2 linked regions of the Arabidopsis thaliana genome follow. The protein of the gene in region 2 interacts with the protein of the main gene of each other region in a pairwise test. Each region holds a gene or a part of one and is shown on either strand. Other genes may lie near its edges. The genes, in order: GYRA and GYRB1.

What was found.
Region 1: the proteins of GYRB1 (region 2) and GYRA interact in a two-hybrid assay, tested with the Arabidopsis thaliana proteins (one study listed by BioGRID).

What each region holds. Positions count from the first base shown.
Region 1 is NC_003074.8:3,335,757-3,351,128, forward strand, and holds GYRA (DNA GYRASE A), read right to left. Parts: upstream 10,605-15,372; 5' UTR 10,488-10,604; coding exon 10,063-10,487; intron 9,969-10,062; coding exon 9,899-9,968; intron 9,801-9,898; coding exon 9,735-9,800; intron 9,621-9,734; coding exon 9,519-9,620; intron 9,331-9,518; coding exon 9,286-9,330; intron 9,210-9,285; coding exon 9,111-9,209; intron 8,972-9,110; coding exon 8,885-8,971; intron 8,752-8,884; coding exon 8,681-8,751; intron 8,193-8,680; coding exon 8,084-8,192; intron 7,979-8,083; coding exon 7,916-7,978; intron 7,767-7,915; coding exon 7,701-7,766; intron 7,606-7,700; coding exon 7,517-7,605; intron 7,316-7,516; coding exon 7,267-7,315; intron 7,114-7,266; coding exon 7,027-7,113; intron 6,926-7,026; coding exon 6,832-6,925; intron 6,447-6,831; coding exon 6,376-6,446; intron 6,291-6,375; coding exon 6,201-6,290; intron 5,811-6,200; coding exon 5,685-5,810; intron 5,599-5,684; coding exon 5,441-5,598; intron 5,343-5,440; and 17 more. Other genes in the region: NAP7 (non-intrinsic ABC protein 7), read right to left, coding at 368-490, 619-840, 946-996, 1,189-1,548; AT3G10680 (HSP20-like chaperones superfamily protein), read left to right, coding at 2,017-2,155, 2,256-3,589; GalAK (galacturonic acid kinase), read right to left, coding at 11,033-11,280, 11,415-11,504, 11,613-11,682, 11,777-11,805, 11,898-11,938, 12,101-12,252, 12,613-12,712, 12,838-12,917 and 6 more. UniProt on the Arabidopsis thaliana protein: A type II topoisomerase that negatively supercoils closed circular double-stranded DNA in an ATP-dependent manner.
Region 2 is NC_003074.8:3,169,153-3,184,504, forward strand, and holds GYRB1 (DNA gyrase subunit B), read right to left. Parts: upstream 10,635-15,352; 5' UTR 10,605-10,634; coding exon 10,432-10,604; intron 10,078-10,431; coding exon 9,936-10,077; intron 9,756-9,935; coding exon 9,675-9,755; intron 9,589-9,674; coding exon 9,475-9,588; intron 9,117-9,474; coding exon 9,060-9,116; intron 8,904-9,059; coding exon 8,802-8,903; intron 8,471-8,801; coding exon 8,320-8,470; intron 8,228-8,319; coding exon 8,151-8,227; intron 8,013-8,150; coding exon 7,902-8,012; intron 7,562-7,901; coding exon 7,491-7,561; intron 7,219-7,490; coding exon 7,077-7,218; intron 6,677-7,076; coding exon 6,578-6,676; intron 6,464-6,577; coding exon 6,335-6,463; intron 6,122-6,334; coding exon 6,007-6,121; intron 5,926-6,006; coding exon 5,858-5,925; intron 5,771-5,857; coding exon 5,657-5,770; intron 5,581-5,656; coding exon 5,464-5,580; intron 5,375-5,463; coding exon 5,321-5,374; intron 5,238-5,320; coding exon 5,132-5,237; intron 4,947-5,131; and 5 more. Other genes in the region: AT3G10250 (histidine-tRNA ligase), read right to left, coding at 1-185, 465-647, 998-1,103, 1,219-1,266; AT3G10260 (Reticulon family protein), read right to left, coding at 2,261-2,430, 2,523-2,592, 2,695-2,836, 2,921-3,101, 3,176-3,416; KCS14 (3-ketoacyl-CoA synthase 14), read left to right, coding at 10,912-11,488, 11,634-12,436; AT3G10290 (Nucleotide-sugar transporter family protein), read right to left, coding at 14,359-14,505, 14,591-14,819, 14,991-15,094.

The sequences.
Region 1 (15,372 bases), 170 kb from region 2:
TAGTGTTCTCATGTTATCGATAAACCAGAAATGACCACTCCTTGGGAGGCAGATATTTCAAGATCAGGAAAATATAAAGAGATATGAAGACATATAACATGCCATGTCTTTTTAGCTAAAACTGCAGTCAAATACTTGTAATAGAATACTAACTGCCATGCAATAACCGCGTCTACTTATGGTAAAACCTGTAACTGCTTAAGCTAATCTACCCAGATATCCTGAAATTCCTAACTATTAGCCTTGTGGTTTTGCACACTGTAGCATGGAACAAGCTTAGTAATCCACTACCTTCTCTAATCACATTTGTTTCTTATCATATGCAGTCCTTATGGATACTGAGAAACAAGGGAAGCAGAACCATTACCGCTAACTGTAGAATCTCATTGCGTTTCCTTTCACCACCACTAAATCCTTCATTGACATTTCTGTTGAGAAAATCGGTCTTCATATTCACAACTTCGAGTTTTGATACCAAGTGGCTGTAGAACTGCATGAGCCATGTGATATCAGTAAGACATAATACATAGACAGTTCTACAATTGGGACCATTTAGCAAACAACAACAAGTAAGAAACAGTGCAAACCAAATCCAAGTCATTTAATTCGATAAGGCACCTGGATTGGATCAAGCTCTGGCTGACCAAGCTTTCTTTTCCGAGCATTGAATGCCATATTCAAGAAATCCATATTGCTAACACCAGGGATCTCAACTGGGGACTGGAAACTCATAAAGAGACCGGCAAGAGATCTATCCTCTGGTTCCATATCAAGTAGATTCTGCCCTTTAAACACAATACTCCCTCCCGTCACTTCATAATCGGGATGACCAACAAGAACCTACAAATAATAAGACTCTCACTAAGATAACAAACAGAAAGAGAACAATACTCTGCAGCATCAATGTTAATCCTGAGATACAAGATATACAAATAAAATGTTCACCTTCGAAAACGTGCTCTTTCCTGAACCGTTCTTCCCCATCACTGCGTGAACCTATTAGCAACCACAAAAGAAGCCATGGATTACAATCGGCAGCAATGCAAAACAAATCCACACAAATAGAATTCACAAGTTATGATATCAAACTCAAAACTTTATCATATAATGAGACAGCACTACCAGGCAAAGCTTTCTGCAAATTAAATTTCAAGTCTTAACCATAAAATTGCATTGATTAATACGCACCTCTCCTTCGTAGACAACCAAATTGACGCCTTTCAGTATCTCTTGTCTCGATTCAGCAATCACTGCTCTCAAATCCCTAACTTCAAGCAACGGGATCCTCCCCACGTCATCACGATCTTCCACCAACGAATCCGAATCGACGGCTGAGGATACGGAAGACGCCGAAACAATAACTGAACGGCGAGTAGTTCGCAGGATTGGAGCGGCGGCGGAATTAGCTCGGAGATTGCATAATAGAACACGAGAGGGTGAAGTCCCGAGGCGAACTCGCTGAGTAGGAAGAGGAGGAGGAGAAGAAACAGTTGGAACGAATTGAGCTATGGAGTATGCGTGACGGAGCTGTAGGTTAACGCCGGCCATGGAGACAGAAATTGCGGCGGAAGAAGACGGTGGAGGTTTTATCCGGTGAAGTGATGTGGTTAGTTAGGTCCAGGGATTCTTTTAATTTCACATGTTGAATGCCACGTAATATATATATCGGCTACTAGCTTAATTAAAATGGAAACAAAAAAAAAATGGAAATAACAAATAAAACGACATCACTTTGTGTTGATACGCATATTCTTCAAAACCTTAAAAGCTTCTTTCCTTGAAGTACAAGAAACTATTTACACATATGAGACCTTGGGATGAAGAAACAGACAAAGTCCATACCCTAAAGCAATCCTAAACCCATACCGTAATCTCAAAATCTCTTCTTACCTCTCTTTCTATCTTATATACATCATTCAAACATTTTTTATGTTTTCATATACAGTTTGATTCATTTATTTCGTAAAGGCTTTGAACTTTTTGTCCTGATATAGTGTGATCTATATATAAACATATATGGCGGCGATTTTCAAGAGACCAAGGCCGGGAGGTGGCCGTCATCCGCCACCGCTGGCTCCGACAGTGAGTAGTTTCAAGCCGAGAGCTCAATGGACTAACTCCGGATCTTCCATTTTCCTCTACGTTAATCTTCCTGGTCTTTTTTCTTCTCTCTTTCTTTCTTTTTGTTTCTTGAGATCAAACTTTAATTGATAACAAACTTTATGAATTTCTCGTTTATTGTGTGGAACCGGCAGGGTTTTATAGGGATCAAATAGAAATAAAAAAGGATGAGAGGACAAGGACTGTCCAGATTCAAGGCCAGCGACCGCTCTCTGCTCAGACTAAGGCTCGTTTCAGTGAAGCTTACCGTGTCCCTGATACCTGTGACATGACCAAATTGAGCACCTCCTTCTCACATGGACTCTTGACCATCGAGTTTCCAGCAATCGTGGAAGCTAACAAACAGGAGAAAGCAGTCCAAGATCAGGAGAAGATTGGACAGAGGTCTAATCAGGAGAAAAGTGGAGGGCCTGGTCCTAATGGGAGTACCTTGGGACGAAAGAAAGCTTTGGAGGAGGAGAAACAAGTGGGAACAAGTCAAGAGAAAACCACTCCAACGTTGAATGAAGAAGCACCCAAAACGTATAAATCAGTGGTTGAGGGTAAAAGAGCAGTGCCAACGGGCAGTCAAGAGAAGTCTGAAGCGAAAGTTAAAGCGCGAGAGGCAATCCCTAGCTTAGGGGGAAGAGAACGTGCGAAAGAAGAGAAGGTGGTTGAGAGAAAGGAGGCTGCTCACATAGTTCAGCAAAAGATAGGAGATAAATTGAAGGAGGAAGAGGCTAAAAGTACACCAACCCTTGGTGGTAGCTTAAAACCTAAGGTACAGGCAAAAGAAGAGAAAGTAATTGAGAGAAAGAAAGATGATGATATAAGTCAGCTTAAGACTGGACAGAAGGTGAAGGAAAAAGAGATTAGCAGAACGCCGACCATAGATGCTAGAGTGGAATCCAAGGAACATGCCAAAGTTGTTGAGAAAAAGGAAGATGGTGAAATAGGTCAGAAGCTGGAGGGAGGAAGGATTAACTTGGGACCAAAGAAAGAAGATAAATTTACAAAACCAGTTGTTGGTGATGAGGCAAGAAGAATAGAGAAGAATGTTGCTCAGAGAAACCAAGCAGAGCCTAAGCTAAAAACGAAAGAGGGAGATGAAAGAATCAAACTGGATGTTGATGATGGCGTGAGAAACAAGCAGGATGAGAATAATGAGATGGTTGGAGACATGGTTAGTGAAGGAGAGATTCAAGACAGAGTGGAGCAGAAGAAGATAGACGAAGCTGGTTTAGCCAAAGATAGAGGCGATCTAAAGGATAATGCTGAAGTCGTGGAACCAGAAACCGGTCCATTACTAGTCAAAGAAGGACAGAAGAAGAGCGACATGGATCCTCCTCTTGCAGTAGGAGGAAGAGGAATGGGTGAAGAAGAGAGTCGGACATATGACATACCTTTGGTGAATGTTGGTGTAGCTGCTCTTGTGATTATGGGGTTTGGTGCTTACGTCTTTGTACCACTAGTAAAATATTTCTCCTGATTTGTGGTTAACAACAAAACAAAAGTGAGAAGAGCACTACTGTTTTGGTTATAACCAGAATAATTGGTTTCAACTTTCTTAACATATGTATATAGTTAAACCCAACAAAATGTGAAGCAGATTAATGTTAATAACTAACTTCGATCATGGTTTTCTCTTCTCGTAGTAACATCACAAAAAAACAAAATGAAGAGAGTTAGCACATAGACTCTATGTACTGAACTTGACAATTGTCTCAAAAACTGGTGGAATTGGGATTGTAAAATTTACAGGCTAACGGCTTCTACGGCTTCATTACTTAGAGTTCCTTCTGTTTCTTCTTCATCTGCTGCAGAGATCAGAGATGCAGATTGGATTTTGCCGGCATGATCTAGCCGCATAAGAATCACTCCCCTGAGAAATTAACAATCAAATGAGAAACCATATAAAATATACATTTGAAAAGACTGTCACATGAAGGGAGTACCGTGCTCTGCGAGATTGGATTGAGATATCCCTGACTTTGATCCGGTTCACAGTTCCGCTTTGGCTCACCAGAACTACTTGCTCATCACTCTCCCCATCCTCTGCAAGAAAACCCAATGGTGAGATTATATATAAACAGCAATCAAAGAACATTTAAATCCGTATTTGTGGCAGTGTATACTTACCAGCCAAGGAGTAACCAACAACGAAAACAGCAGCCAAACGATCATCCTCAGCAAACTGACAAATTGAGATTTAGATGTAAGGGAAAAATCAACACAAACACAACCAAAAATGGTGAAAATCCAGATCCTACCTTGTATCCAGATAAACCAACTCTGTTCAGACGCGAACGCCGGAAGCTACTCAGAGGAACACGCTTTCCATAGCCATTCTCACACACGAATAATAGCCATGGACCCGTGGATTGTTTCCTGCTTTTGTGATTGTGTTAACAAAAGAAGACAGTAAGACATAAGTAAGTTTCTAGAGCAAACATCAGCAGATATAAGTTAAGAAAAACATACACAAGTGAAGCATCTTCCGACTTCTCTTCCATATCTTTCCGCAGAGATGCAGGTATGATGTCCATGCTCGCTATCTTATCCTCATTCTTGAGTCTCATGGCAGTCACTCCCTTTGTATTTCTGCTCAGTGTGCGAACCTAAACAAACAAAAGCCATCAGAGTTTGCTCAAGTATTAAAAGGTTTACATGAAAGATGAATCATTTAGAAAAAATGAGAGCCACAACTTACACCATCACATGTACTCAAGGCGACCATTCCATTTTGGGATGCCATGGCTACAAGATCGTCGCTTGAGCAACAACGAACCCATTTCAGTTCATCACCAGAATTCTGAAGACAAATAATTTTGTTAGAGTAACCTTGTTAAGAAGACTTCCTATATGACTAAGAAGAAAAAGGGGACAAACCAACTGAATTGCTATGATTCCAGTTGAGCGTATTCCTGAAAATAATTTCAAAGATACTTTCTTGATGCAGCCATTCACTGTAAGCATCAGGAGGTAGCGATCTTCAGCAAACTCGCTAACAGGAACAATGGAGGTTACTCTTTCACCTTCCGACATGGATAATATCTGCTTCCACAAGTCACATGAACACAGCAAAACATTAGCCTTTCATAAAATTGAATAATTTTTGACATAGCAGAAGGAAAACATAGATACACAGATATGTAATTACCTGAACCAAAGGTGTACCAGCTGCATTGCGAGAGCATTCTGGAATTTTATATGCACGGGTTGAGTAAACTATACCCCGGTCACTGAATGTACAACAAGTATAAGCAATGAATTACAACAAGGCAGAAAATTAATATCCATGTGCGTAGCAAACACAAAGGAAATTTTGAGGTATACATACCTGAAAAAGAGGACATGGTCATGTGCATGACAAACAAGAAAGTCAGACATTGCATCATCAACTCTTAGTTTCCCAACAGATTTGCCAATTGTTCCACGATGCTGAAGATTGAATGTATCGGCCTTCATTCTCTTCACATAGCCCTTTTCGCTGACTGCCTATAGTCATCCATATCAAAAGTTACAAAACAAACAACAAAAATTTCAACGTTGAGAAACTTTCTAGGTTTAAGTATGCAACATACCATCAGCATCTCTTCATTTGGAATAACATCTATATCTTCTAGATCACCACTGTCAGAATCCTCCAACATTGAACGCCTGGGACTTGAGAATCTGTCCTTCAGCTCTATTGCTTCTTGTTCGATTAACTAAAGAAAAATACAAGAAAAACAACGAAGAGAATAAAGTAGTAAGTAATATACAATGAAGTAAACGAAGCAAATAGTTCAATTTTGGTCTACAAGAAAATCATCATGTATCAGTTATCTTCCTAACATTGGCCCAGAACAGCAACATATAGTAAGCAGCTTTACAGATATAAAAATAAGTACCAAACAAGAAATGGAAGAAGCATTTGAATCCTTATACCACATCATAATGCATGGACTAGATTTTGAACCTCAGTGGACTCAAACAGTCAAGCTTACAAATTTGGAGTACATATATTGATGCATCTATCATTCTACTAGCATCTAGGTGTTCTAAATTTCTAATATCAATAGCCAAAAGAACAGATAACTAAAAAGTGAGTGTGTCACCTTTAGGATGTTTGTTCGGGTTGATAATAGCTGCTCCAACTTTGTAATTTGCTCTGTTAGTGAACTACTTTCATCAGTAAACTTTTTCCGCTGCATTTATGAAGGGAGAATCTAGTTAGAACATTGTCAAGCCTACAAGTTTCATAAATTGAACTTAGCGAGAATAAGAAAGCACCTCAAGAGCAGTTAGCCTTCGAAGAGTTATCTCCAGTATAGCCTCAGCTTGTTTCTCAGAAAGACCATATTCTACATAAGTAAATGTTTGACAAGTGTTAATTTTAATATATGGTATCGTCCCTTACAATAGAGACTTACAAAGCATAAATCCCTAAGAAATCTTTGCAATTAAGATCAAATCTTACAACGAATGAGACTCCAGCAGTTCCAGATAAAAAGACAAGAAATATATAATGTTCAAATGTAATATGGAAGAGTTCACCACAAGATGTATTCTTTTAATAGTGTACATCCTAGACTACATCTATCAGTCCACCTAAGAAAAATTGGCTCTAGTCTACTTTTTGACTCCTAATTCTCGCTCACTTTTCCGAATTCTGTTTATACATCAACCTATAATGTGCAGTTCAAGATTGTTACATTGATTATATTGTCAAAGTAAAATATAGCTCACCACTTTGTAAAGCAGCAGTAGCAGAGGAATGACTTGAGGCCTTCGTGATGAGTTCGATTACTTCGTCCACATTGTCAAGCCCAACCACAATACCCTAAGCATATATACAGTGAAGATATTAGAAAAAATGCTTTACATCATTACATCATGGTCTTCACGAGCAGATTTAAGAAAGTTAAATATTTCTAGTCGCACCTCAATAATATGCTTTCGTTGTTGTGCATGTGAAAGCTTGAATCTTGCACGCCTTTCGACGACAGAACACCTGAAATCTATAAATGCCTACACACAAGCAAGAAACAGAAAGTAATCAACAAATTTACTTTAAAATGTGATTACAGTAGCACAGAAGTAAATATCCTATCTCTGATCTTCACTTTTCTATTACTCCTTGTGGGCTACGTAGATAAATGATTTACATAGACAAGTGGTCACCTGAAGTAGTTCTTTTAATCCCATTAGCTTGGGTTCTCCATCGCAGATACTGTAAAACACAGAATACCATAATCCAGTTACGATAAAGAAAAACGCATATGTGAATACATGATCCTTAATATATTTACAAGCATAACATACTCATTAGAGAATTTTCAACTAGTCATCCTGGAAAATGCCCAAGTTCTTTTATATGCCCACTCTTCAAAAAAGTACAGGAAATAAGAAGTTATCGGTTGATGCAACTCACCCCACCATGTTGCAGCTGAAGCTTGATTGAAGGGCAGTATGCCGGTAAAGATTATTAAGCACAAGTGCAGGATCCCCTCCTCTTTTGAGCTATAGAGAAGTATTGGAAATTATCTTAATTACCTTCCAATATGAAATTTTAAAGCAGACTAATACATCTAAGTGCAGAGGAAACAGTGTAATACCTCAATAACCACACGCATCCCATTACGATCACTCTCGTCACGTATGTCACTTATGCCCTCTAGCGTCTGAAAACAAACACCAACATCAATGAATAAAGAAGAAACTTTGCAAGCATATAAGGACATACTAGAAATGTAACACACCTCTGAGTAAAATAAGTACATATTGCTAAGTGAAGCAAAATAAACATTAGATGTCGCAAGTTTAGTTGTACCTTATTTTCAACAAGTTCGGCAATCTTCTGGACAAGTGTAGCTTTGTTTGTCTGGTAAGGAATCTGCAATAAAGTCACACTAAAGGCATTACTCTACTGCTAATAAACATTTTTGAAACCCTCATCCATGGAGATCTGAACATTAATCTAAAAAACTAAATTGATCACCTCTGTGATAATAACTGCATTCCGCTTTGTCTTTGGATCCAACAATTCAACTTCAGCTTTTCCTCTAACTACAACTCGCCCTCGGCCAGTTCGGTAAGCATCCAAAACCCTTGAAAGCGCAAACACACATTAGAAAATTATAAGAATCCAACATTGTAAAAGGAAATGGCATATGAATGCAAACTATTTTTTTAATAAAGGTATTCAACAAACTCGAGAGTAAATGTACTACACAACATATAAGCTTTCAGAATATTAAAAAATCACTCACACCATCAGAAAAAAACATGATGATTCAAAAACTGCATATGACAGACAAATAAAGGAAAACTATTAACTGGACCATCCTCTTCACTCATTTTCTAGGTTCCTTTTAAGATATAGGTACAGCTTCTGTAATCTGTTAGAATCATAGATCAAAACAAAACAAAATGCTTTTCTATTTCCATAAAAAAAAAGTTTCACACTTTAGAAGTGAGTCTTTCTATTTGATCCTATAGATAGCCTACTCTCAAAAAATTAGCAAACGAGGTGGGCAAACAAAAGTCATTAATGTATAAGATCCCTTTGGGGAGAAATTGGAAAGCAAAGAGTTACCCAAGGTTTCCCATTATTATTCCTCCAGTTGGAAAATCCGGTGCAGGCATGTATTCCAGCAGTTCTTGCAGCTGCCCAGACGAAGAAGAAAGTGGAAACAAAATCTTATGAGTTGTCTACTTATAAAACAGAGGATTTTTCATGTAAAACAAAAGACCCACAAATTGATAAATCACAGAAAAACAAAGGGGAGATGAGTGATACCGTTGCTTCTGGATTATGGATTAAAGCGCAAAGCACGTCTACCAACTCCCCAAGATTATGAGGGGGAATATTTGTTGCCATGCCAACCTAAACAATGTGAAATGATCAAGATTCAACTGCATATTCAATCTCATACAGCAGGGAAAATCTGCACAAGATTAACTGAAGAAATCTCGAACAAAATCTATTAAGGAGTTCAGATTTAAGATTTGTTTGATTATTTTACCGCAATCCCAGAAGCTCCATTCAACAACAAAGCAGGAAGACGAGCAGGCAACACTGCTGGTTCTTTTTGTGAGTTATCAAAATTGGCCACAAAATCCACCTGCCAAAACAAAAGAGGTTAAGGACCATCTAGTTGAGTATCGGTAAACTTGGCAACAAATTAATAGTGAGGTTACCGTATCTTGATCCAGATCAGACAATAGTACTGCCTCTGCCAGTGGCTGCAGAAAAAAAATAAGTACAATCAGCTGAAAACACTGACAAAAATACATGTTCATCTCAAGACAAGAGAAAAAGTAGAGATGAGAGATACACTATAGATAGCAAAGACAAGTGAAACAACTAGAAAAAGTGAATTGCAGGGAAAACCATTTCAACTAGAAGGGAAAGTAAGGTAAAAGGCACTCACATCGAGTCTGCATTCAGTGTAACGCATAGCAGCAGGAGGATCTGCATCTATTGAGCCAAAATTTCCATGGCCTTGGATAAGTGGACATCTCAAGGAGAAACTCTGCCAAAAAAACAAAGGTATTAAAACAAAAAAGTCAGAAGTTTGGGAAGAATCGAATCGTGCCTGAAACATTATTTGAGGACTGGACTACATTCCATGAATTCAGATATTTACCTGAGCCATCCTAACAAGAGAATCATAAACAGCAGTATCTCCATGCGGATGGAATTTACCAAGAACCTGAAAACCCAAAGAATTCAACAGCACAAATCGTTCTTCAGAATAAGATATTTAGAGAAATCGACTGAGAAAACACTTTCCAAAAATCAATAATATACCTCTCCAACAACTCTTGCACATTTCTTGTATGGTTTTTTAGATGACATCCCCAACTCATGCATTGCAAAGCTGGAAGACAAAATAATCGAACATTAGAAGGAACAATACCACTGACTAAGCTTAAAAATATCAGTAGCTTTGAGCCGAACGAAAGTCACTCAACAGAATTCTCCGATGTACTGGTTTTAGTCCGTCTCTAACATCAGGCAAAGCACGTCCAAGCAAAACAGAGAGCGCATACGACATATACGACTCAGTAGCTTCCTTATGTAGCTCAAAAGGCACAATACGAGATTCGTCCCCAGAAACAACCAAACCGCCATTGTTAGCTCCGGACTCTTCCTTGACCTGCTCATCTCCGCGCTTACCAGCACCGACAACGAATTTGCCGGACCGAGGAGTACGGGAGGAGAAGAAACGCGTGGCGGAGGGTTCAGTGCGGCGGAGACGGCATAATGGGTCGGTGAGGGGGAATCGGAAGAAGGAGCGGCGAAGAAGGGAGGAAGAGAGACGGAGAGTGGAGGAGAGAGACATGAGAGAGTTAGGGTTAGGGATTGAAGCAGTGGAATGGCATAATACTGGAGTCATGCCCAGAGGGTTTTAGGGATTTTTACAAGTACAAATGGATTAAAGTGCTAAAACCCTAGAGAGCCACACCGGAGAATTTCTCAGGCGCGAATTTCAATACTTTGGCGGGGGTCTTTGTGTCCAAACAAAAAACTAATCTGTATCTCTATTTGAGATATACACTATTTTATACAAACAAGATTATAATAACTAACTTTCGATTTCAATTTCTAATTTCATACTTGTATAGTGTCTTTGTTAGATCAATTACAGAACTAAATTCACCAATTGTTGAAAATTTAACAAATTTATGGAGAAATGTTAGTCACATTTTTGAAGTTTGCGATTCTTCTATCGACTCGAAAACGGTAGAGAATGATTTACATTATGTATTTGTAGCAAAAAAAATGTATCAAGCAATGATGAAACTCCGACCAAAGAGACCAGAGAATTTCTCAGACAGGATCAAAAAGAGATAAACAAGCAAAGAATCAATAAGCGTGAGAGATATAAGGGACAAAAAAATCGAGTTTAAGTGGGGAAGAAACCAAAAACTCCAGGATTGATCAGAGAAGAACACGAGCAGCGTCACCTGCTTCACAGATGAGAACAGGTTTTCCTCCATTTAGATTGTTAGCAAACTCGGGTTGGGCCTTTTCATATTCATCCTTCACATATGAAGCAGCTGCCTCAGCTTTTTCTGCATCTACAAAGGCTAGACAACATCCCCTGAAACCTGCACCGCTGAATCTAGCTCCATATACACCAGGAGCCTTCAGAAGAATCTTGTATAGCTGGATCAGTGGCTCCGCACCTTCACAAAACTCACAGAATTTAAAACCAAAATAATGAATCTAAGAGAGAATAATGTCTGTAAGCATACTAGTGGTCTGTATTCACTATAGGATATGTTGCATTTGGGAGAGAAGAAAAGAGAGTGTAATGTACCGCATTCGTAATTCTCAATGGAACTCAAGCCGGATGCTGAAATTAGCTTTCCAAATTCTTCAAGATTCCCTGAAGCCCAGGCTTCCCGTCCTGAAATTTAAGAACAAACATTCATAAAAGTCCGTTAAGCATCATAAAGAGCTTAATGAATCATTCATGCACATAAAGAGACATCTACAAGAATTCAAGAACATTTGCCTTTGATAACTCGCATGTTCTCCGAGAAATAATGCTCTGCTCTTTTAGCTAAAACCGGTTTCAGCTCATGCTGCACGAACAAGTATTATTGTATTACATATTTACATAGGCCTGATATAGGTGGAACCTGTTTTACCAAAAGCTTAAGAATCTTATTTTCTTACCTTGTGAGCTTCATAGACCGCATGCTCAACTATTCAGTGGGACAGTTAGAGACATGGCAACAAAGAAAAACTAATCAGCATGCAACGAATAAGTTAAAGTCCACACTTAAAGTTTTTTTACCATTGCACAACGTAGGTTCCAGCTCACTGTTCCCAGATGCACTGAAAAGAAAAAGTAAATCAAGAGAAGGGTGTGAATCTTGTGATGCAGAAAAATGAGTATCACAAGCAATAGAGAAATAAACTTTGCAGCATTTCCACTGAAATTTAAATCTAAATAAGCGAAAATGTAGATAAATATGAATCAAACAGATTTGCACATACGTCAAAAGAACTTTTGCTGCCTCTTGACACTCAGAAACTCGCAGATTATATCCTGGGTTGGTGGTCAACGCCTGCCTCAAGCCTGAGAATGCTAACAATATCCTGAACGGTTTCTCCAGTTCAGGAGCCTGTACAAGCTCGTGGTCCAAAGTCTGCATATTTCAAACAGTTTTTCTGAGATGGCAGTTTCTGGAAGAAAATAAAGTTTCCCTATCTATGGCTGGTTAGGAAGGATTTCTTCAAGGCCTCCTGATTCTAACCATTCATTTTCATTTTAGGAAGAAGTGAACTCAGCATTGAAATACATTAAAATCGAAGCAATTGAAAAGATTAAACACTTATTTTCTCGTGAAAGCAATGAGAATGTTGTAGATCTGATTTGATCGTGAGTCATTTTCAGTTTAGAGATCAAAAACATCTTAGGCATCCCATTGAACAGTCTTGGTTTTGCCACATGAACAAGCTTCTTGCTTTTTTGCACACTATATCACTTACAAATCAAGGAATTTTACCTTGCAGTCCATGTATGTTAGACACCCATAATTCGAAAGCAAAATAGCTGATTGATCCAAAATTCCATTCCGCAGACCCAGATACCCATTCTCAATAAGCCTGCAGACGCAGTAAGTCACATATAAATTGACCAATTTGCAGCACTAATTGCTGGTTTCACAGAGAAACAACTGCTCATGAAGCAATACAGAAGAGCTTCTTGGTTACATTAGAAGGGAATATACCTGTCATATTCGATATTTTCTGTTGGGGATACAGTCAATTCGTTTGCATTCTCTAGAGCTAGCAGGTATGCCACACCAACCTGTCACATTTCTGGCGATCATAAAATAATATACAAGATTCATTTTCCAAAAATGACAAGTAAACACCACTCTCATATGCTAAAAATGTTTAGTTACTATTAAAGAGCAGTAAAAATTGTCTTTCCGGAGAAATTTCTGCTGTACAAAAACAGGCGGGATTCAGTTACTTACAGCAGCTGATGAGCTAAGCCCGGAGCTATCTAGTCCATTTGAGCCACTGAGGTAACCAATAATGCCCTTCAAAGATCAAAACAATTACTTAGAAACATATTCAAATACCTTTTCCATTAAATACAATTATGTCAACTATTATGGGGAAATCAAGGCCTAAAAGATCAGGTATGGCAACCAAATAAGGGTAAATGTGGAACCCCAGAAGATCACACAGCAAATGTGCAGGCTAAACCTCATTTCCCATTAATGGTAAACTTTATCTATAGCTATAACCAGAAGACCAAATTTGAACCTGTTACCTGTTTGAGATTCTTTTTGCTGCTCTGTAACGCATAAACTGCTCCTCTGGCATAAGTACCCCAGATACTTTTTTCCTTCGATGGAGATGGCGTGCTTGCACCATTCTTGTTTGCTAGGCCTATTGGGTGCTGGATTTCATCTACTCTATAATTTCAGAACCCGAAAAGCTATTAGCATTATGCATAGAAGATCTTCAATTCCTTTACCACCATGACGAGTACAAAATTGAAATGCACTAAGGAAAACAAAAATACCTTTAGAAAAGGTAAAATAGAATGCATGAAACAGAAACTAGAAAATCATGCAAGCTCATCCAAAACGGATACTTTTGTATCCCTTACAGCGCTAAGGGTCTTCAATTTCCAATGAATTCTAGGGAATTATGAGCAAACTTAAAGGTTGAATCTGATAAATGTCTAAGACTTAAGTGAAAGATAAGTTCATTTTCATACTAAAATGAGATATAATGGAATGCTGGCCAGATCGAAATACTTCCACAATATCCAAGGTGCACTTTACCCTATACGGGGCTTAGTAACAAGCTTATGCACGTCTGAGGATGGATATAAAAGTTTGAAAACACTAACGACAAGATGAGAGATCATGAAAGATATGCACACCTGAAACATACTTCTCCTTCAAATTGTGCAGAGCGCAACTGGACCTGCATATAAATTAGAAAGAGAATAAACGGTACAGAGACTTCAAGGCTCAAGTGAAACACACAGACACAAGGAACTTTCCCAGCTCCGAAATATATGTTTGTCTCCTGTCTACAAACCACATTCATTTTAAATTATCCAATTCTTTAATGCTTTCTCAGGTCAGGTGAGAAACAAAAAGAGACCAGGATACTATATTGTACACAATTAGAATCTCCATCTACTCTTAAGCTGAACCAAGCCCAGAATACGGAATGCTACTTAAGAGAATTGCATTATACCATCAACGAGACATTCATCTAAAAATTAGAATGGTGCTTATTTGCGCAAGAATCCAAGCATGTCAAACATATGAATTTGATTGACAAGTTCACTTATAAGAAACGCAGAGGTATACCAAAACACATAAGAATCATGATAACTAATACACACCTGAGTATCACCCGATGGAACAAAACCAAGAAGGATCCCTTTATTAATCGTCATAGCTGATACAGTTCCACCCTGTGAACACCAAAGATGATTTGAATTCACAAAGAAATGGTATGAATCAGACTAACTCTTGTAGTTGAATCAAAACAATGATTACATCGCTACAATCAGAAACCAACCTGGTGATCAATGTGAGCTCCTAAAGGACATATACGATAAGGAGCGACCACCACTCGAACTTCTCCTTTATCTCTTCCACTCATCTGAGCCACTGCCTCCTTTATGGAATTTAACTGGAGACATAAATGAACGATCTCGTAGGATTAACACCAAAGCCAAATTTCGAAAACATCCAAACACAAAAAACAAACACTCGCGGCAATCTGCAGCATATACATTGAGCTCCACACATAGAAACTAATGAAATTGTTCGATCACATGTGCGATTGACAATTCGCCGGGGAAATGGTTAACCGGAAAACACATCTCCGTCGCTAATTCTAACGAAAATTAACACAGTGGAGGATATTGGCACCGAGTTAACCAACGATAACAAGCAGATTCGTTGCGTAAATGGAAAAAAAAATGAAGAATAACCTCAGAATCCGTAGGCCAAGACATTGTCGCGAAGCTTTTCCCAGCAGTTGATCTATGGATTCTTAGAGGATTGTAGGAGTACTGAGGTTAGATGGAGAGGAAGAAGTGTGCAGAGGAAGTGCGAGTAACCTTCGAATGAGGAAGATGACCAAATAAGGTGCTGCTTGGTAACACGTCTAATTCTATCCTTTTGGTTAGTGTTTGGTAAACCTTTAATTTCCCTTCAGTTAAAAGCCTTGATTATTTTCACCATCTTTTCTATTCCATGACTGGTTGAGTTTAGTAAAAA
Region 2 (15,352 bases):
TGGAGAAGCATCAACTCTCCTAGCATGGGTTGATATGTTTATAGAAGAGGGCACGTTTGTATTGAGTGTGGAAGAGCCATTGAGGAATGCATTAGACAGACTAGAAGCCATTGGATGATGTGCACTTTCAGACTTCAAAGATTGGTCAGTGTGCTCAGAGGGATAGCATAATTGTTTCTGATTCACTGTTAAGAAAATCACATAGATTAGCTATTTAATACTCATCAGTTAGCGACTTGAATGAATGACTAATCTAAGGAAAACAACAAACACATAATGTTCACAGGAAAAAGAAACCTTGAAAAGAACTAAGGCAGCAAAAGTGGAAGCCAGAAAACAAGACAATGCATATGAGGACTGTTTACTACAACACTTGAACAACAATTCATAGCAAAAGTATACAAGCAATAAAGAGACCCTAAAATGCAGAAATTAAAATCCATCTCACTCCAAACGAATCTTACTTGATTGAAGATGAGAACCATTTGTGTTTTGGACAGAAGCAACACCAGTTGGATGCATCTGACGCATGTGGTGAACCTGCTGCTCAAGCAACTTGTTGAATTCCATTATCTGGTGTTTAACCATTAGCCTAAGATAGTAAGCTTTGAAAAACTCCCGATTCTCTTCTTCAAGCTTCTGCCAAACTTTTAAACATAAAAAGAAAGCGTGTTATCATAAATCCCCATTTTTTATCATCGATACTCACTACTATACATATTCTCTCATATTTCATGATCTATTGAGCACTTCCTAACTAGGTTCTGACCAATAAGACCTTCTTGGTGACACTTGAACCAAACAATACATAAGATTTCAGTTTTAAGCAACAACAAAATCATTCACACATGATTTTGGCTACAGATGTCCTGAACTGGTAATAGATATATTAATACCTTTTCATTCACAGTAATGAATCCAGATTCATCAATGAACAAGGATTACAGAATCAGATGCTAATTTCTATGAAAAGAAAACAGAGTATTTGAGTGGCTACCTAGTTCTGTGAACCCAGGCTCGATTTTAGCCTGCTCTAGTAAAGTATCCACAACTTCTTTCTGATTCATGTAAAGTTGAAGGCATCGTTCTATAAGGTTTTGAACCTGAAACCAAAAGTAAGTTTTATTGAGTTGGAAGAGGACGAATTCAAATTGTCGCAGATTCAGACAATGAAACCAAAGGCCTTCCTTCATCATGATCTATTTTTGTTGTTATTACCAGTTGTATATCTTGACGTGAAACCCTTCTCACTGTTCCACTCGACATCTATGAGACTTTTGTAAACCAGACCTTGTTCCTGTCAGGCAAGAACCAGTATTAAGAGAGGGTACAAGGGAAATCGATTCGAATCTGTACAAGTTCAAAAATTTATATCAAATCATTAGAGGTTTTTATCTCCCACTAATGAAACAAGGTTCTTTCTCTAGGTTTCAAATCCAAAAAAAAACAAAAAAAAACAGAAAAAAACAGAGAATCAGAAATACAAAATAATTCACAAATAAGAACAGATTGAGAATCATCTATTTTACCCCAAACTAAACCTCAACACTTCGAATCGATTTCGTCTTCAAATACAACCGGATCACATCAAATCAACAACAATAACAAAAAAAAAAAAGAACATCAAAACGATCAAGAAAACAAATTCGATTAGCTTAAGAAACACAAATTTCATAAGCAAAAGAGCACCTTTAATCGGAGAAGATTCGAGAGAGAAAGAGGTGGAGATGGAACCTAACCTCACTTTGTTGATCGATCGTGGATCAATTTCTTTACTCCATTTTCTTTGATTTACTTCTTTTTATATTTCTTTCTTTTAAATTTTTTAATTTTAACATTCAGGCTTCGAAGCTCAGGAAGCTGACACGTGTAAAATGTTTGACAATGGTGGATCCCATACCTGTAGAGTTATCTGATCTTCTTATTAGCCAGCCGGTCAATATTAGTCAACGATTCTTACGAAATAAGAAAACCATACTTTTGATTTGTGAAATAATTTTGATTCAAACTTGTTTTAAGTCTTACATTTTTAGACATTGAGTTAATGAACTCTCAATCTACTTGTATAATTTTGACAGATATGATGATTCTCTTATTAACCAAGGTATTGACAAATACATGGACAAGGTATTGTTTAGTAAGGAAATACACAAAATCTACATGAATGAATAATATTCTCAAAACATTCATTTAGCAAACCATAATCCATATTGTTCTAACAACAAACAAGGTAAAATAAGAAAATGCTTGAGTGATTTAGTCACTCACGCTTCTTTAATCCAAACTTTCCACTTGGGATTCTACTGAGAAACCCAGTATCAAGCTTCTTGTAATGACTATGAAACTTCATGATCATAGAATCCATAAAACCATCCACTTCGTCTTCGTATCTCTCATACAGAACCGGCATTGTGTGTGCCCCAACAAACCCTTCACACACACACATAAAATGCATCCCTTTAAAGTCTTGTATTACTCAACTTCCAATCTCAAAAGAGGATACACTAATAAGAACCACTCACCGATATACAAAACAGTTAGGAAATTGCAACAGCTCCCGACCATTGCAGCTACCCATAGTCCGATTACAGCCTGAAAAATGATATTGTGATCAAAGTTTCTATCTTAGCATAGTAATGAAAGTGCTAATACATTATACAAACAAGATTGTGGTTATTGAAACAAACAACGCACCATGAGGAACTGTTTCAAATTCCCTTTACAAGCCAAGTCCTGAAGAAACAACAAACCGCGGTTAACTTCTTTTCCAACGGCCACACCGACTTCAGCAAAGAAATCCTTTGGAAGAACTAGGCGAGGCACTCTAGACTGTGAGCTGCTTTGAGACATTAAAGGACATTGTGTTAGATTGCAATCACAAGGTACCAATAATAATGACAACAACACTCCAACAAGTTACCGGTTTAAGAATCCAGAGGCGTTAGACCAAACGAATTGTGCAATCATACCAAGCAAGAGGGCATAGCAAACGAGAGACAGGAAATGGAAATTGATCCATTCAAAAAGCACCCAAATTGCGGTAGCTCCCATCAAAACACTTGCAGAGATCTTCTTGTTCCTCCATAACAACACATCAGCAGCTGAAGGAATCTCTCAATACTCAATTACAAGAAAAACCAATCTCATATTTATGTTCCTGTATACGAATTCTTACATTTGCCACCGCCTAAGACATGATGAATTGGCTTCTGGCGATCAAACAAACGGTTGAAACGAGAACTGACGGAATCTTCTTGTTCGAAGAAGGAGGAACCATGTTTGTTCTTCTGAACAGTCTCCGTGAAGTTATCCACCAAATCACCGATAACGTCCTCTACGATGTTCTTGTCAGGCATGATTCTGAAACACAATCGAAATCTGAGATTGCTCAATTTGCAGATGAAAGTTGACTTCATAAAAAATTGAATCTTTTGATCAGTTCTTCATACCCTAAACCCAAAACCATTTCGAGTAATCAAATTTGGTCTTAACAGTTCGTTGGTGATAATTACAATGATATAAAACTTAGATCTTAGTATATTTGGCGAGAAGACAAGAACAACAAAAAGACCAGAAATTGAAGAGCAAGAACGAGACAAAGATGAAGATGAGTAAGAGTAAACCTGTAGGAACTGGAGAAGAAGAAGAAGAAGAAAAACCTTGGTTGTTCTGTGAATTTCACCCAAAAAAAGTTGCTTTCTTTCGTTGAAGATTCTCTCAATCACGAAGAAAGATGGAGGGCGGAAGTGAAACAAGAGATGGGATTGGTTGTGTCGAATAATTGAATTACAAAAAAATGTTTTTTTCAAAATGTGGGCAAATGTTGGAGTAGTGTGTAGTAATAATGGATAGGACTTGTCTTCCCACGTGTAGCTCATGACAATAAACAAATTATTTTTTAAGAAGTATTATTGGACGCCAAAAAAAGAGTTGAAACGTATCGTTTGTATTTGCAAGACAAACAAAAAGAAGTTTTCTGAGTAGATTTATCAACCGTTACAAGCCTTGTTGAAAATAAAAAAATTTCATTTATTCAATGAATTAAAGTCACACTAATATGGTTGACTGGTTGTTACATGCGTGATGCGTTCATAACACTGCTTTAGGTTGTTCAGGAAGAACAAAAATCATGTTTAATTCACTATATACCTACCAAATCGAAAAATAAACTTGTTAATTATCGATCACTCTGCGATCGCTAGTAAAACATCAGTCAAAACTTAACCTCGAATACAATTAAAATCAATACAACAGGCAGAGAAGATATTCATTGCACAATAGTTACCTTCTCATCTTCCTTCTAATCATTAGTTTTAACTTCGTCGCATGCATGATTTTCAGGAATGCCAAATTGTTGAAGTCATAATATATAGTAAATACCTAGTGAATGCAAATTTCTCTTGTCTCTAGAAAAATTCTAGTTCCAATGGAAAGAAACGCCCAACAAAGAGCCTTGTGAATTGCTAAATTTTGACATTGAAAGAGATAATCCTAACAATGAATTTTGTCCTTTATAGGCCAGAAGAAGAACAAAATCCTGTTGGCCTGTGACTATATGATTTAACCTTGAAATGATGATGTCTCCCTTTGCATTTCACCAGAGTCGTTTCTTTGTTGTTTGTATATAGCTGAAGCAATAACTATAAGCTGTGTTATATGTCGAGATTCTCCAGATTCATCCTAGTCGCAGCACTTTTGATGAGTTCCTTCCTGACATCGACCTGAAACATACACAGAACATAACATTGTCACGATGAGTTATGCCAGTTTATTGACTATTATCATGAGTCCGAGTCTGGCAATTCATTGGCTTACCCGAGCACCCATCAGAGATGAGAAGACCATATTCGTTTCTGCTGCGTCGTCAACAACTAGTTGCTTCAATATCCTTGTATCTGGATTCATCGTTGTTTCCCATAGCTGCGCAGGCATCATCTCACCCAAACCTGCAGATGCAAAAGCAAGAAACATTACATAGAATCCAATAGTTGAGACTAATCTAGATTTCGTTATGCACACACTCAAGAGTATCTTAATAGCTAACACATAACAACTACTATACATTACTTTTCATAGTTATTTATCCTTTCCAAAAGAACACATTCATGATGTGAGAAGTAGGATGTTTTACCTTTGAACCTCTGAATGTTGTAGGATGCGTTTCCAGGGAACGAAGCAGTGATTTTTTTAAGAGCTGCATCATCGTAGCAGTAGTGCGCCTGTTTCCCCCTCTCAACCTGATCGTTTTCACAGAGAGACTAGCTTTAGAAAAAAATTCCGTTCAATCTGAAGCATAAGATTATAGATACTAAGAGCTTACCTTGAAAAGAGGTGGAACACCAACGTATATGCAACCCGCGTCAAACAAGGCTCTCTGTAGAAAGTAAATTTCATTAAATTTCACATAACTCAATCAGCAATCAAGGCTACTTCAACTAATGTTTTATCAAACTAAACTAGTACCTGATATCTGAAGAAAAAGGTCAACAGAAGTGTCCGGATATGTGCACCATCAACATCTGCATCTGTTAAGATGATAATTTTATGGTAACGCAGATTCTCCTTGTTAAAATCTTCTCCCTGAAATAAGTTTTATGTCAAACTGAGTTTTCCGAACATACCAACAAACAGCAGGATATGAAAAAGGATATATTACCTTAACTCCAAGACCAAGGCCAAGAATAAGATTTTGAATTTCTTCGTTCTTATACATTGCTGCTTCATCCTTTCTCTCAATATTCAAAATTTTGCCTCTCAAAGGAAGAATTGCCTGCATAGATCGAAATACAGTGTTACAGACTAACAAAATAGAAGCAGAGCCTGTTAGTGACACGCTGAGCAGAATGATTTTTTTTACCTGGAAACGCCTGTCACGACCCTGTTTCGCGCTGCCACCAGCCGAATCTCCTTCGACAATGAAAATCTCTGGTAGCATAGGAGATAGATGTCAATAAACTGACTAACTTTCACAGCTTACAAGGCACTTTCATATTGGTTAATGCATACCAGATTCTGCAGGATCTGTAGATGAGCAATCTGCAAGTTTCCCAGGAAGTGAGGATGACTTCAAAACGCTTTTTGATCTTACCAACTCCCTAGCCCTCTTGGCAGCCAGAGCAGCCTAAAAAGAAAGAGTCAGCAAGGAAAATCCATGGTCATTTGGTTGAAGTTAGTAACTAGACATACTGTAGGAGACACATACTCAATCAAAGAATACGCTAATCACAGATATCAGAAAATGCTTCTCAAGGGATAAAACACATGTTTGAGTGTTTGAGTGCATGTGTGTGTAGGTGAAGATGTGACAGTATGAGCAGGTATTTCAATGTCGCACCTTGTACGCATTCAAGGATTTGGAAATAATGCTTTCAAGTACATCCGGATGCAATTCCAAGTACTCCGTGAGGTACTCCTGGACTGATTGGTCAACAATTTTTCTCACCTCTGGATTTCCTAGTCTTGTCTTTGGGACACAAAAAAATTAAAATGATCAACAGAATCCAAGAAAACTTATGGCCTGCTGACCAGAGATTGTTGACAAAAATGAGGGTCAACATATCATTATGCTCCCTAGTACCTTTGTTTGACCTTCAAACTCAGGGTTCGGAACCTTGACTGAGACAATGCAGGTCAATCCTTCCCTAACATGTTCCCCACTTAAGCTAATATCCTTTTCCTGAAAACATAACCAACAACAATAAGTTACACTATGAGTTAGCAACCTTTTCAGAACAGGTCAAGATAAATGCTTAAATGTAAGCAAAAAACAACCTCTATAACTGGCATGTTTCACAGTTCAATCATGGTAGTACATTATTAATTGTCCGTAAAGCATGTCTTTTAAGTGCAGATGAGTATTTAAATTTAGTCTCAATCCATGGAGAGGAATAGATAATATAACCCTTGACCTACATTATCTCAGAAGACTCTTTCAACCACAATAATGACCAACTAACCGCAATTAGGCATTTGCAGTTTCCATGAAAAAGGAGGAAAAGAGAAGGGGAAAAAGGCTCTAAGCCTCTAAGAGTGGAAATATAAAGTGGAAAAAACGCAGTTGGTAAGTTGTATCCCACCTTGATAACCTTTAACTTTTTTGCAAGGGAATTTAGAGTTCTTGTTAATGAAGCCTTCACACCTTCTATATGTGTCCCACCATCTATGGTCCGAATACTATTCGCGTATCCCAGCATCGTGTCTGAATAGGCATCTGAGCACCTGGTACAATAACGAGATTATATACTTAGATCCATATAAATTTTGGATAGCTACCATGATATACACATATTCGTCTAGAAGAACTGTATATACAGTCATCAACTCCGCATACGGTACAACATATTTCCATCCAGTTTAGATAAAGTAAACCATAAAATCAGTCAGCCAAAATGTTCAAGTATGTGGTTTTACGCTAAATGCAACCCAGATTATAATCTGTTCATCACATGAGCAGATATTAGACGACGTATGTAGAAGGAAGAGTAAAATACCACTGAAGTGAAACGTCAACGGTGGAGCCATTTATCTCTTTCCGGAAACCCAGCACATCATGAAGCGGTTTCTGAACAAAACGAATTGTAAATTCATATTTTCGGAAGGGAAAAGTAATAAGGATGACCTATAACACCAGAGACCTAAATGCATAAGAGCTAACATAATAGAGATTAAGTTTACAAAGGTTCCATGCTCATGCTAAATAGAGCCCTAAAGAATAATGAACAGACAACACATCTTACCATCAAGTAAGCTGAGAAGGAAAAGTATTAGTACCATCCCCATTGCATTTTGTTTCACAAAACCCATTCCAATTTAATTGCCACTATTTTAAGTCTAGCATCACCGATTGGCAAATATTGAGATTTTATACAACTATAACAAGGGACCCACAGTACATGCCTCACCTTATCAGTATTTAGCCAGCTAACATATTCAGTTAACCCTCCAGCATAAAAATATTCACTATACACGTCCCTTTCTGGATCATCATCCTCCTTTTTTAGAGAGATTGTAACCTGCATTCAATATGAACCTCTTGATTATGACAAAGGAAACAGTCGAACACTAGCTTCTGCTAAATAAGAACTCACTAAAACGAGCAGGTTAAGAATGCTCCGTGAAGCACACAAATCAAATATCACGGCTGCCTATACCTTTGGATTGAGAAAAGCAAGCTCCCTGATCCGTCCAGCAATAGTGTTATGGTCGAATTGAATTGCAGTTGTGAATACTGATTACCAGTTTGTTTCAGAAAAGATAAGTTAGTCATCAAATCCTATCTTTGGGAGGGTACAATAGATAAGTACGGAAAACAGGCAAAACCTTCTTTGTCAGGCCAGAACCGGATGCATGTCCCTTGAGTCCCCCTTGACTCTGGTGGTAGGACATGACATGTAAGTGTTGTTACGGGCTTTCCACGAGAATACTTCTGCTGAAACTCCATTCCATCTCTGCGAACTATAACCTCCAATGCCTGTGAATAATGGGAGCTCCATAATTAGTTGTATGCATATTATCCTAATAGACTCCTGATGTCTTGCCAAATATAACAGTTTCTTATAGTTGAAAGTATCTGAAATTGATAGCCCCAGCACTCAGTACAGAACCATTCCAGGATCTTTCTCATATGATATCAGGTTTGGACATTAGATTAACTTTCACACAAAATAAAGAATTTGCAATAACATAGCAAACCCTTCCTATACGATCAAATGCGCAGGATCTAATTATCATTACAAACATGTGACAGAGGATATTTTCAATTTAGCAGAAAAGGCAACAATGTACTAACGGTTACAACACACCTCTGACAATGCATTCACAACCGATAAACCTACGCCATGCAATCCACCAGACACGCTGTACCCACTACTCTTGCCACCAAACTTACCACCTGCATGTAAGACCTGCACAAATAAAAAGCACTGATTAATTGCAGGACCAAATGTTAGGATAACAAAAACAAAAATACGTGTGAATCAACATTGAGACAAACATAGATAGCTTTCTACACAATATATAAGTATAAGGTGTACTAATAGATGTTTGTCAAGTGGCAGTACCGTAAGGACAGTTTCCAAAGACGATTTTCCCGTTGCAGGATGCAAATCTGTGGGTATCTGCAGACAGAAAGCTTGTATGAATAAAAGTGACCAAATGCATTTTGATATTAGCAACAAATTTTACTTCTGGGATGAAAGAAAGCTATATACAAAATAAATAAAAAAAACGTAAATGAATAAGATAGAGCATGATTGACATATATTGTTTACTCTTGGTGCACATTAGATATAAAACCGGAAGCTTTGAGAAAAATCAGCTAGGAATACCAAAATTGGCTCCTACACATAACTACAGAGTACAGAATGCCATTGGGTGCCACTTAACCTTTCTCTTGCATCTCGGCATAAGAAAACAATATCCATGTTTTCAGTTACAAATATACGCGAAGATGAGTAAGTGGAACAAATCACATACCCCACGTCCATTGTCTGAAATGCTGACTGAATCATCTGAATGTAAAACAACGTCGATCTTTGAAGCAAAACCAGCTTGGGCCTCGTCAATTGCGTTGTCAAGGATCTCATAAACCTAAGAAACAACATGTATTGGGAAGGATATAACCAGTTGATAGGAGCCAGTCACGACCAAGAACGTCAAAAGAAAAAGGCATTTACCAGATGGTGCAAACCACGAGATCCAGTGCTACCAATATACATCCCAGGTCTTTTCCTGACAGGGTCTAAGCCTTCCAACACCTAATACACCATAGAGAATTTAAGATACAATAACCCAAAAAAGTGAAACTAAGAGATTCATAGTAGGAATTTTCAATAACTATAGAAGAAAACATCGTTCCAATGATCGAGTACACAAACATAAAAACAGCAAATCATCTAAAAAAGCAAGAAAACGAAAAAGATCTTTAGAGGAATTACTTGGATGTGCTCGGAACTATAATCCTTAGAGGTAGAGCTCTCTTGGAGAGACTCCATGGTCGATGACATAAAACTTTTAGGTGAGACCGCATTTCTTTGTACAAGTCTTTGACTAAAAACATTGGCTAACTGAAACTTTATCCTGAAACCAAATGTGAATAATGGTTATACTACCAACTTTTGCTTCAGACTATGGAAGCGAATCACATAGCTAAATGTTAATAGTAAACTAAAGCCCTGAAAGTGACCAAATACGAAAAACATTTTTGAAGGAGCTGAAGAAAGCAATTGACTTTCACTTGAAAAGTAGTATAACATAAAATTCCCAATTCCGAGAAAACTTGGAAACTATCAGCAATCGCGTAAAGGAATGATTTTTATCATCGGAGGCAAATTGGTATTGCTTCTTCTATTCAATCTTCATTTCACTGCGTAATTTCCCCGGAAACCAAAACCGGAAAAGTGAAAAGAAGAAATGAGCTAATTAATACAATACCTGGGTGTTGAAGAGCTGAGAGCTGAGGAGTGACGGTGAAGTGAAGGATATAGAGAGTGAGAGAAGAGACGAGGACGAGGACGAGAAGCCATGAGACGAAAATAACGGAGAAGATAAGAGTGTTGTCTCTGAACTAGAGCCATGGAGGAGTTGATGGTGACAGTCAAAGACATGTTTTCTTCTGCTTCAAACAAGTTTTACGGGTACTCATGTCGGGCCGGGTTACTCAAACCCACCCGGCCCAAAGTTCTTGTACTTCAATTAAATAAATTCCGATTATGATTTGCAGCCCAAAAAAAACCATTAAGGATTTTTCATTTTCGATGTCTCTGAATTTTGTTTGAATAGGTGAACCTTAAAACGCAGACCACATTTTCCGCGGCACAAACGCGCTTAACGCCATCTCTATTCATATCATAAATATTGGTAAGGTACGTTGCTTATAAATTAAAACCCACCCAATGCCCAATATTTTCTCATATGTTCATTGCAATGGCAGATTTCAAGCTTCTTTTGCTTATACTCATCCTTCTATCTCTCTTTGAACTTGATCTACTTCACTTTCACCATGACTTCTTCTCTCCTTTTCCGGTCAAGATCGGTTTACTCCTGATATCCATCTTCTTCTATGCCTACTCAACCACCCGGTCTAAACCGGTTTACCTAGTGGATTTCTCATGTCACCAACCCACGGATTCTTGCAAAATCTCATCCGAAACGTTCTTCAACATGGCCAAAGGCGCTCAACTCTACACCGAAGAAACAATCCAATTCATGACGAGGATACTAAACCGGTCCGGTTTAGGAGACGATACGTACTCCCCACGTTGCATGTTAACCTCTCCACCAACTCCATCAATGTACGAGGCGAGACATGAATCCGAATTAGTCATCTTCGGAGCTCTTAACTCACTATTTAAGAAAACCGGAATCGAACCGAGAGAAGTCGGAATCTTCATCGTAAACTGCAGCTTGTTTAACCCTAACCCATCTCTCTCGTCCATGATCGTAAACCGGTACAAGCTTAAAACCGACGTCAAAACTTACAATCTCTCCGGTATGGGATGCAGCGCCGGGGCTTGACGAGGCCGATAAATTTATATTACGCAATCGTTACTGTCCATCTTTATCAGCCAACTCCCCAGTTTCTATCTTTCCTTTTAGAGTTTACCACTCTTCATAGCTTCTTGAACTTTCTTTAGGAATCTCCGTGGACCTCGCCACAAATCTACTAAAGGCAAACCCTAATACCTACGCAGTTATTGTTAGTACGGAGAACATGACTCTAAGCATGTATCGAGGCAACGACCGGTCAATGTTAGTCCCTAACTGTCTATTCCGAGTAGGTGGCGCTGCGGTTATGCTCTCAAACCGGAGTCAAGACCGAGTCCGGTCTAAGTACGAATTGACTCATATTGTAAGGACTCACAAAGGCTCTAGCGATAAACACTACACTTGTGCTGAACAAAAAGAAGATAGTAAAGGTATCGTTGGAGTCGCACTCTCTAAAGAACTAACGGTTGTTGCTGGTGACACGTTAAAGACGAATCTAACAGCACTTGGTCCGCTTGTTTTGCCTTTATCTGAAAAACTCCGGTTTATCCTCTTTTTGGTAAAGAGTAAGCTTTTCCGGTTAAAGGTTAGTCCATATGTTCCGGATTTTAAACTATGTTTCAAGCATTTCTGTATTCACGCTGGTGGTAGAGCGTTACTTGACGCGGTTGAAAAAGGTCTTGGACTTAGTGAGTTTGATCTTGAGCCGTCTCGGATGACTTTGCACCGCTTTGGAAACACTTCAAGCTCGTCGCTGTGGTACGAGCTGGCTTACGTGGAGGCTAAATGTCGGGTCAAACGAGGAGATAGGGTTTGGCAGTTGGCGTTTGGGTCGGGTTTTAAATGTAATAGTATTGTGTGGAGAGCATTGAGAACGATTCCGGCTAACGAGTCATTGGTGGGTAACCCGTGGGGTGACTCGGTTCATAAGTATCCAGTTCACGTGACCTAAGTTTTAAGTAATACTACTACGCGTGTGAAGTCACGTTACAAGTTATCATAAGTCAACAATATGTTATTAGCTTTCTATTAAAGTGTAGCTTTTTTTTTTGTTTCTCTCCCCACAAATATGTATTATTTGCTTGTTTTTGCCAACAATTTGGTATCTATTTCTTTTATATGAATATGGAAATCGAGGAATTTTTATTTATTGACAAACAAGTCGATTTTTTTTTGTTGATATGGTCATTTACATTTAGTAAGACAGATAATGTTGTTGTATTCACTGAGGAATGCAATGGTCTCGGACTATCACAAAACTCATTTTATTTAAAAGCCGGATGAATTTAATGGGCCTAATATAAAAAGCCCAATAATCCATTGATTAAAATATATGTGGACTGGTTTCACCATTACCGCAATAAGGGAGACTGAGATAAACTCGCACAGCAATCGGAGTTACTATGTGGACAATGAAACCGGCGGCGATGCCGGTTCAATTTCTCATGGAGCAATCTCCGTTGGCTATTCACAGCCACCACCACCGCATAAAGTTATGATCGAGAATTCTTCTGAAAATTTCTGAGCACAATTTCTTATTTTGTGAATTGATTTGTGGCAAGTTAAAAAAGCTTCGAACATAGCGTAATAATTTGGCTCTCTTATGAATTGCGTTTGGTTTGGACTATATGTTATCTGTGTGGAATCGAATCAAAATTATCAATCTGGTTCGTCGGAGTTGGATCAATAGTGGAAGTGACAATTGCTAGTTTGTCGTTTGTGTTTTAATTTCGGTTCGGTTTACATGGTTTTGAAAAATTCAATTGATTTCGGTTGGGTTTGAATTGGAATTAAAGGAGAAAGACACTGAAATCACGCACTCGAGGCTTTTTTTTAAAGGAGCGAGTGTGTTTCAAAACAAGCCATTTGGTGGGTTAGAACCCACAGAAAACGTATACACGCGCTCATCACGCGATTGGTGAGAGTGGGTGTGAAATTGCCCGAGAGGTGAGAGTGGGGTATGACATGAAACGCTCTGATTGGCTTATAAAATAAAAATAGTAGACATGTAGCTCCTCCCTTCCTATGTTTATATTTATTTACTTCTCTTTTCCGAAGTATCAAAACTGTTGTCAAACAAAAAGCTTGGAACAAAATTAAAACCAATGCAATTCATATAGAAGAGCTTAAGCGTTTTCTTTGTTGATGATAATCTCTAAGATGTCTGGTGGTAAAAAGTCATATATTCAGAGGGAGTGTATCACTTGCCTTGATTATCATCATTCTTTTGGTGATTTTACTCCTGGTTTCTGAGGAAAACTCGCTTCATGATTCTCTTTTTGATGTATAACGTCAGTTTTCATCTTCTTCAGGTATTTATATGCTCTCCACAGCTTTTAGTATTCATTTTTTTTTGGCTATGTCTTCTACTATTTAGTAAGTTTATGATCCAAAGTTTTTGAATCTCAAGATATTATAGTCTGGTTTTGTGATGCATTTTGGTTTCCTATTCAGTTTGTAACTCTGCAAAGGGAAAATGGGTTGAAGACCGGAAGAGACCATTGTATTCTGGTTTTGAATGTAAACAATGGTCATCTTCCATGTGGAATGGGCAGACCCGATTTCTCATTTGATGCCAGAAGGTTGCAACATGCCACAGTTTGACAGATTCAGTTTCTTTATACGTATACATGAATTGTTGTGTTGCGTTCATCTAAACCTGCGTATTGGTAGAATCGAACTAAAAAAATGAATTTAACTGGATCATTTTATGGTTCTGAGTGAGTGAATACAAAGTGTCTGGCAAGTTTGCAACACAACAACTCCAGAACAAAAAGAACATAAGTCATAGAATCGACCTACATATATAAGTAAGTATAAGTCTATAGGTTAAGATACAAAAATGAGTTAAGTGAAAATATCAGTCTTTGAGCTTCATCTAAACCTGCGTTTAGTCTCTCCATAAGCAACCACCCCGAGAACGGTTATACTGTACCCGCCAATTCCCATCACCGTTACCGGGTTTCGGAAAAGCAGGATCGATATCACAACTGCAACCGCTCCTTTAGCATTTCCAAGGACCTGAAACATTAAACATACACATGTTTGATCCAATTAGGCACTCCTCTAGTTTTGTTTAAGTTCAAAATCTTTTCAGTATTTTTACCTGCAGGGTAAGTGCGCTTGTGTGCTTGGTAACCAGAAAGTTTAACAAGTTGGCTGAATAAGCCATTACAGAGTTAACCAGCAGAAGTATATACATGTACTTATGTTGTCTTCCGAGTGTTAGTGTCACACTCATCACGTCCGGCTCCATAAAAATTGTGACAGGCAGAAGAGCAATGACGGCTATTGGAGACATGTACAGCATCAAATTCATCGAATTCAACCTTTCTCTGCAAGAAAACTTAACGATCTGTTAAACCCTAAGATGAGCATTAGTAGCTTCAGCTTCCTACTTTGCTTATCCAACTGTAGTTGCAGAACCTTTTACATTATTATAGCATATAATAAGGTTTTCTGATTCATTGAGTAACCAAATGCAAAAGAAAAGTTAACGGATTTACCCCTCGGAAGAAAGTAAGATGCCTTGAAGAACAGATTTAAAAGCTCTTGCTGCAGTAGCACTAATGCACATAATGAATCCAAACCAGTGAAAACCTGGTTCACCCTGTAACCACAAAGGCAGACCCAGAGCAGGATCATTCAATACAGAAATCCCATAATCAACAAACAAAACATTCAATAGCTAAGGCCTAGCAAAGAGATCAAATAATTCACAGAACAATGTAGAATGTAAGAATGGCAATAGTTACAAGAAGAAAGTCTGAAGCTTTAGATAACACATGACTGGAATAACGCATTAAAGGATGAAGCTTTAGATAAGTAGATAATACAGCCACAGAGGACTCAAATTTGTACTTGACAG